Canis lupus familiaris: one gene and its partner. The protein of the gene in region 2 interacts with the protein of the main gene of each other region in a pairwise test. Links are inferred from orthologs where the notes say so. Each region holds a gene or a part of one and is shown on either strand. Other genes may lie near its edges. The genes, in order: UBL5 and CLK4.

Region 1 (3,878 bases), on a different chromosome or scaffold from region 2:
GAGTAGGAAACCAAGGATCGGAGAGGGTGACTTCCTCAAATCCCATCACTAATGATCAAAGCCTAGCCTAAACCACAGTCTCTGTTCACTTGAATTTCCAAAATCCAAGGAACTGTGGCTGCTTAATCATGCTTTAGCTCATCTACACATTTCACAACAAGGCAATTAAGTAAACACTATCAGTTCCAGTTTGGATAAGGAAATGAAGGCATTAACTACCCTGGCCCAGGATCACAGCAGTGGCAGAGCTGGGATTCCAACCATAGTCGGTCTGAATCCAGAACCTGTATTCCTAACTACTGTATCTACTGTCCTTACCCAGACCCCCTTGATCTATTAGGATGCCAATAATCCCACGGATCTCTCGACCTTCACAGACCCTTGGCAAATCCCAGAGCTTCCATTCAGGCTCCCAAGCTGCTGGCTTACTCTTCCCTCACTGATCCAGTTGGATCCTGAACTCTTTATTGAGCTGCTGGGTACTGAGAGTATAGTGACAACCCTCCCACGTTAGAAAAGACCTCCTTCAAAGATGACAACAATGAAGCAACTTCTAAGATTTTATTAACATGAGTTTTTAAAAACAAGCATCCGTATCAGTGTGGGGGAGATGGTAGTGAAGAGGGGAGAGGAGCCAACAGGAGGGGAGAGGAGCGGGGTGGGGGGGGAGGCAGGACAGGACAAATGGAAGGAATTCTGCTCTATTGGTAATAAAGCTCCAGGTTCATCCCATCGTGGATTTCATCTGAAGTAAAAAACGTTAAGGAACTCTCACTGTGGGCTCCATCTCCACCCTCTCATCTTGCACAGGTGGGTCAGGGTGGCCTGAGGGCTCCACCCAGGGCCAAGGGAGCCATTTTGAACTAGGTCAATTTTGATTTGAAAAGAATCAGAACTATAAAAAAAACAAAGGTTCACGCTCCTGTTGCACAACAGACATGCCTGAGTCTCACTCCACCCTGACCACTTGTCCACACTCAGGTAGAGATCAGTAATAAATATTTAGACCTTCAAGTTTCTTCTAAGCCAAGCCAAAGCATTTCATCAACCACCCTCCACCCCTAACCAACATGACATGGCTTCCATTTTCTTTCTTTCTTTTTTCTTTGGATCCCATTTTCCAAATGCTTACTGTGTGCTACATTCTAAGTTAAATACTTTATGTGCACCATCTCATACAGACTCCAGCACCGAACAAAGAGAACCAAGTCTGGTATACAGAGCCTTCCTCAAGAAGTCACGCAAAGGATACAGTCCCCCAAAGACACGTGGTCCTTGAAAATCGTGTACCTGTGGGATAGAAACCTTTTGAATTTGAAGTCTGAGGTGGATTTTCATGCAGGAGGCAAGCTGAGGAAGCTCTGCCTAAGCCCACAGGGCTCCCCCACCCAAACCTTCTGGCCCAGTCCCATCCAGTCCCCAGTTCCACCGCTGCACTCACCACTTCTTCAGGACGATCTTGTTCCAACGGGTGCCAGTTTGGGCTGCGATCAGCTTCTTAAGGTCCCCGATGGTGTCATCAGTGCTGGGCGCAGACGAGTTAAGGAAAACGGAAGGGAGAACGGGGAAGAGGACATCCCAGGGCTGAAGGCGCCCTGCCAGGCCCCCACCCGCCCACTCCCCCGGGTTTAACTAAAGTCACCCTACAGCACACACGGAGATGCCTGCCTCACATCAAGCACCCCAGGAACCACTGCCTCTCAGCCGCGGGTGGATACTTGCACTTAACGCGGACCTTCTTCCCTAGACGGTCGTTGCAAACAACCTCGATCATCCTGTCTGGAGCTACACACGGCGTGGGGTGGAAGGCAGCAGTCAGGACTTCAGGGGTCTCCCAAGAGCCAAGACCCCGGGTTTGAGTCTTACGTTCACCCCTCAACCTCCCAGATTCGCGGTCCTCCTAGGCCCCAACTCCCAGGACCGCGGACCCCAGGCGGCCGCGCCTCCCCGCTCAGGTCGCCTGAAGGCCCGGCCTCGCCTTTCGCAGACGCGCACACCCTTGATGGCCAGGTCCGTCCGCTTTCCCCGACTCTGCGCCTCTCCCACCAGCCCCTCACCTCGAATCGCCTGGAACCCGCCGACGCCACAAACTCCTCGCTCGAGGGCGGAGCCCGGGTTAGAGTAGACGCCGAGAGCCGGAAGCGGAAGTGAACAACCGGAAGCGCCCTCCCCGCTCCCGGCTCAACACCGCTCCGGCTTTCTTCCGGTCAAGGCAGGTTCCGAGCGCCGCTTCGGGGTCCCGAGTTTGGGCAGAGAATACTCGCCCGTCGGTGCGTGGGGCCGCGTTGGGGTCCCGGTTTGTGCGTGGCCGGGGAAGGGGCGTGAAAGCAAAGTCAGAGGTCAGGGGCCGGGCAGAGAGATCCCCCTTCCGTCGGAAGGTGTGGGTTGCCGCGGCCTCGTGTGGCGTCTGGTGGGAACATCAGGGGAGCCCGGGGACGCCCCGTGGGGGTGGTGACTTTTCGTTCCGGAGCCCGATGGAGCCTCTCAGTGGAGCCTCAGCTTCAGGGCGAGGAGGAGCCTGGGTGAAGTCGTGCTGTCATCTCGGGCCCCCTCCCTTCACTGGGGGCGGGGACTTGGAAGCGTTTTGCCCACCCCTCCCTTTGGCCATCGCTTCCCCCCCTTGCACCCCGACACACACACCTGGGCGCAGACCACAGTCAGCAAAGCGGCCTCCTGATCACGTCCTGGATACCAGCACGCACCAGTCCGGAGTCCCGTTCTCTCCTCTGCTGTCTCTGCCTCTCTCTCTGCGTCTCTCATGAATAAATAAAAATCTTAAAACATTTTTTTTTTTTTTTTTGGGTAAAGGGCCGCCTAGGTGGCCCAGTGGTTGAGGGTCTGCCTTTGGCTCAGATCCTGGGATGGGGTCCCGCATCAGGCTCCCCACAGGGAGCCTGCTTCTCCCTCTGCCCTTGTCTCTGCCTCTGTCTCTGTGTCTCTCATCAATCAATCAATCTTTAGAATGGAGTCCAAGTTGCATGCCAACCAGCATGATGGGCAAGTCGAGTGGAAACGACAGAAGAGGGTGATTACCCGGGTTTGTGTGATTGAGGAAGGTCACCCCAGCCCTGCAGGGAGCACCTTGTACCAGATCTCAGCCTTGCCCTTCAGCCCCAGAGCAGCCCCTTCACTGCCAATGGAACCATTAGGCTGTTCTTTCTCTGCAGACAGGATTTTCCCAGTTTGGTGAGCCTAAAGGGATTCGCTCTGAAAATGAGCTGCTGCTTCTGATTTGCTCCATCCACCTTCTCTGTCTCTCTGTCTTTTAAAAAAGATTTGTTTATTTATTCATGAGAGACAGAGAGAGGCAGACACATAGGCAGAAGGAAAAGCAGGCTCCCTGCGGGGAACGTGATGTGGGACTCGAGCCCAGGACCTCGTGATCACACTCTAAGGACTAGGCTACCACTGCGGCATAGACACCCTCTCTTCCAGATTAAGGTGACAAAGGAAGGAGCCTCGGATACCTCACTTTAGAGACCCCTCCTCACACCTTGGTAATTAGAATTCAGAACTTCCCATGGGAAAAAAAAAAAAAAAACTTCCCATGAAAGGACTCAGTGAATGCCCCTTGAGGAACAAGGGCGGCTCCATTCCCCTCTTTGAGCAGCAGAAGGTCAGTTGTTAGAGGTGCTGGGGTGAGGAGGAGGTAGGTGCTTCCCAGAAGGGATGGTTGTGGGTCACAACCCAAGGAGCAAGCGGGGTAGGCCCTCTTTGCCCCCTTGTTCCCCGGGTTTCTGACCCAGAGGGAGGAGTTTATATGTGAGGTTTCCTTCCCTCCACCCCTGTATGCTGGTGGAACAGGAGATGGTACTTAGGAACCCCCCTGTAACTCAGGGGGTGAGGGCAGGAGCACCTGGGTGCTGCTAAACTTAAAA
Region 2 (4,307 bases):
TAATCAGAAGAACACAACAAAGAATGAGGAAGCTTCAACGGAGACTCCGTACAGCGTTCTTCCTGTTAGGGCCCCTGCCTCCTGGGCAGATGGTAGCTGGAAAAGTTCCCTAACGATGCCCCCATTTTCGCGAGTTTCATTTAACCGAGGCAGAGTAACGTTTGAGAGCTAGTGAGCATCTCTTAAAGGGCTTATCTCGAAGTATTTTGCAGTTCTGAGAATCCCTAGACCGTTTCCAACTCTGAGTGGGTAGAGAAAAGAGAACCAGTCTAAGCCCTAAGAAACATTTCAAAGGGAAGAAGAGCCTGAGAAGGAATGATCAGGAGAGGAGAACCAAGAGCATGGTGTCAGAGAAAGCACGGGGGAGAAGGGCTTGAATGAAGGAAAAGCTTTCAGCGCCAAATGCAGGGAAGGGGTCAGGTACCCTAAGTACTGGAAAGTGTCAAGGGGATTCTATACTCTGACAAGGATTCACTGGGTAAAAAGGAGAGCCGGAAATCAAATTTAGGAGAGCGAAGTTGGATGGTTATGGGCATAAACTCAATAGTGTGTGGAAGATCTGAACTCTTGTATATTGTTAGGTGAAAGGAAATCACTGTAATTTCATGATCTGATATCCTTGGAAACTTGTGTCACCTACTTAAAATAAATTGAGTTGTAATGGAGATTGTACCACAGCCTTCAAGAAGTGAAGTTGAAAATACATCAATTCTCACGAAGATTGTGCCACACTTCAAGGAAGTGAAGAAATTGAAAAGATAATTGGAAAATTGGAGGTGAAAATTCTTGATGCTTTAGAATGAAACAGACAATATTATTCAAATCTAAAAGAGCCAACATTTCTGTATCTACAAGTTTAAATCTTGCCCATCCTTCCACATCCATCTCTAAAATTCTGTCCTTGACTAGATCATTTCCCAGCCATTACCCTGCTCTTGACTACTCCAGTTAGAGATAAGGTCCTAAAACAGGTGGCCACAGCCTACTGATGTGCCTGGAGCCATCAAGGTATATCAGCCAATTTTGGAAAAAATTGGAATTTACTGGTTCTACAACTGATTGCACATACTGTTTCAGGGACATTTATCAGATGAAATGTTGAACTGAGTGGACTGGGCCATCTTGCAAGGTAAAGTGGGGCTCGGCTTGCTGCATATATAAAGGCATAAATTGAAGCTGGCACCAAAGAAAAGTTGCTTTTTTTTTTTTTTTTTCTTTTTGCTGTAGCATGAGGCATATGAGGCATCTTTGTCTCAAGAGACTATAAGAGAATGTGGTCAGGATAGTGCACCGTTGTGTTCAAACAGCAACAGCAACAGTGTTGCAAGGTAGCCTAGTAGAGGGGCATCTGGGTAGCTGGGTCAGTTGGGTGTCTGACTCTTGATTTCAGCTCAGGTCATGATCTCAGGGTTGTGGGATCCAGCCCCGCTTAGTGCTCCACACTGAGCGTGGAGTCCGCTTGTCCTTCTCCCCTAGCCCCTCTCCCAATTGCATTCATGCTCTCTCTCAAAATCTTAAAAGAAAAGTCAGCTAAGTGGAAAGGCACCTACAGAGGCATTTATAGACATCACAGAATAGTGTTACCCAATAGCAGGGTCTGCTTTGTACTTGCCACTATTTGTTTTAGTGTCATTTTGAGTTTTTAAACTCCAGAGTGCCACCAAGGAGACTCATACTTGACAGTATAGAGTGATCAGATAAGGTTGAGAACATCCTGTGACTAGTGTCTCTATTACATGTAATACAGCACGATGGTGTTCCCAATTGCTCTCTATGGCTTATGTGCTTTGACTGGAGACAAGGATTTGATTTATATTGTCTTTGGTATTTCAGTGCTCCAAACCCAATGCCTATTTGTAGGTTATTTACATAAGCTGCTTTTGGCCATTTTACTCAGTTGGTTTAAATTGGATTAAATAAAAGTAGGAATTTACTCTCAGACACCCATCTAACTGCCAGTTAGTATAATAATCTTACATGGTACCTCAACCTCTTTCTATTTAGTTACTATTAAGTCAGTTACCTGAAAATAAACACCCTTTGGTCAGAAGACTTAATGAAGTCTAAATTTCTGTGAATCTACTACCAACACTGGAAAAACTGCCTAATCCAGTAGCTTCATTTCAATGCAAGAACACATATGCCCAAGAAAACCTTAAGTTAACTTGCATACGTGTTCTTGCATAGAAATGAAGAAAATCTTAGTTTTGAAAAGCAACCAGAGGAATATTCTTGTATAGTCTGGCACAGATATTCTATGTGCTTAACCTCAGACATAGGAAACAGTCATCTCTGAGAACAGAGCTCCAGAGAAAAAGTCTAAACTGTTGCATAAATTAATTTTAACAAAATCTTAGTGTCTCTATAGAGAAATGTGAAGACATAAACAATCCTTTACAGTTATAACCTCTGGTTTAAGTTGCCTATTACTGATAATTACCATTGTGTACTCAAATTTTTCATTCATGTTTAGCTATCAAATATCCACTAAGTAATTAAATAACCACCGTATATCCATAATGTCCTAATTTAATCATCTAAACAATACCCTGTAAAGTGATTGATCTTTGGTATTTGCTCTAGGTCACAGTTATCAAGTATTAGAACTAAGATTTAGTCTTAGGCTTTGCTTGCTCTGAAGTACTTTGCATTTAACCATTCTGCTAACTGCTTCAACTCCTTACAACAAAGTACATAGCAACTTACTTTACTTAGTCCTTATGGAAAATATGCCGAGTCCATCATTCAGCAACACCAAAGGAGTTTGTCTTAAAAAAAAAAAAAAAAAAAAAGCCAAGCCACTTTCCACAGTGATATATCATCGAGAGCTGCTCATGATGAAACAATGGGTCAGTTTTATCTCCAGCACATCAGGATCATGAAAGGCCTCAGTGTGCCTCATTCACTGTTCAATAGGAAGTCACAAAGGACTCTCCTGCATCCCACGTTCCTCCAGTGTCTCCTGATGCTGGTTGTGAGGAGATTCACACAGCACAGGATTATTAAGCAGGATTCAGTCCCATCAGAAAATGCTAGAAGAGTTCCCTGCTACACAAAACACTTGGCCTAGTGTATATGAGGAGGGGCGTAAAAGGGTGCTGGAAGGTGCTAGAGGGACTAGGATAGGCTGGTATTTCCAATCTCCTTGTAAATTTTCACTGCTTCCAATGAAAAGGCTTTGGAGCCAGGTTAATAAATTACTTTCTCAACCCCCACTTGCCAATAGTCTCAACTGTCAACCATCCAGTAAGCCATTGCAGGGAAAATATATTTACCTAAATCCTAAATATCTTGCAAACATTGTAGAACCCTACGTAAAATGTGTAATACATATTCGTCTTCAAGTCTTCTGGAGTTAACCCTTTCTTTTAATGTATAATCGTCAAGTTCCTATGTCATGTACTTATGCCACACACTGACCTAAGTACTAAGGATACAAAAGTATACAAGACAAAGTACCTGCCCTTATACAGCTTAGATTCCAGTGGGGGAGAGAGAAAGAAACTAGAATAAAATATTTCAACTTTTTTTTTTTTTTTAGATTTATTTATTTTAGAGAGTGAGATCAAGGGTGGGGGACAAAGGGAGAGGGAGAAAGAATCTTCAAGCAGACTCCCTGCTGAGTGTGCAGCCTGGCACAGGGCTTGATCTCAGGACCCTGAGCTGAAACCAAGAGATGGATGCTTAACTGACTGAGCCAGCCTGGTGCCCCCAAATACTTCCACTTCTTCAAGCCTTTTAACAGAGTTAGCCAGGGATGCTTGGGTGGCTCAGTTGTTTAAGTGTCTGATCCTTTTTTTCAGCTCCAGTTATGATCTTAGGGTTGTGAGACTGAGCCCACATTGGGCTCTATGCTGGGCATGGAGCCTGCTTAAGATTCTTTCATCACCCTCTGTCCCTCCCCTTCCCAATAAAACAGTTACCCAAAGGCAGATCACTTAGCAATTCTTACAATTACCATTCAAGTGCCTCCAGCTACTGCATAAGCCAATGTTTCACCTCAACCTGAACCTCATCCCAGTTCACCACCAGTGAGAGTTTTTTCCTAGATCCAAAGGCAGTATCCTTTTTTTTTCTAGTTCATCACCTTTGTCTCCACTAGAAGCGGTGTTAAAGGGACATCTTTGCCCTATTCCTGTTTGTAAAGTGAATGCTTCCAAAGTTTTTATTAGGTTTCATGTTGTAAACTTTTCTCTCAGTATATTATGAAAGTATGTCCATACCAATAACTATTTATATACAGCCAATCCTCGTTATTGGCAGATTTTGTATTTACAAATTCATTTACCCATTAACATTTATTTGCA

Evidence for each region.
Region 1: the proteins of CLK4 (region 2) and UBL5 interact in a two-hybrid assay, tested with the Homo sapiens proteins (2 studies listed by BioGRID and IntAct). The link is inferred for Canis lupus familiaris from reciprocal best matches to the Homo sapiens genes CLK4 and UBL5.

Annotation. Positions count from the first base shown.
Region 1 is NC_049241.1:51,569,448-51,573,325, forward strand, and holds UBL5 (ubiquitin-like protein 5), read right to left. Parts: upstream 2,212-3,878; 5' UTR 2,058-2,211; intron 1,786-2,057; 5' UTR 1,775-1,785; coding exon 1,719-1,774; intron 1,526-1,718; coding exon 1,442-1,525; intron 1,291-1,441; coding exon 1,253-1,290; intron 746-1,252; coding exon 702-745; 3' UTR 547-701; downstream 1-546. UniProt on the Homo sapiens protein: Ubiquitin-like protein that plays a role in cell proliferation and sister chromatid cohesion by associating with spliceosomal proteins. Participates thereby in pre-mRNA splicing by maintaining spliceosome integrity.
Region 2 is NC_049232.1:3,225,627-3,229,933, reverse strand, and holds the start of CLK4 (dual specificity protein kinase CLK4), read right to left. Parts: upstream 2,851-4,307; 5' UTR 2,707-2,850; intron 1-2,706. UniProt on the Homo sapiens protein: Dual specificity kinase acting on both serine/threonine and tyrosine-containing substrates.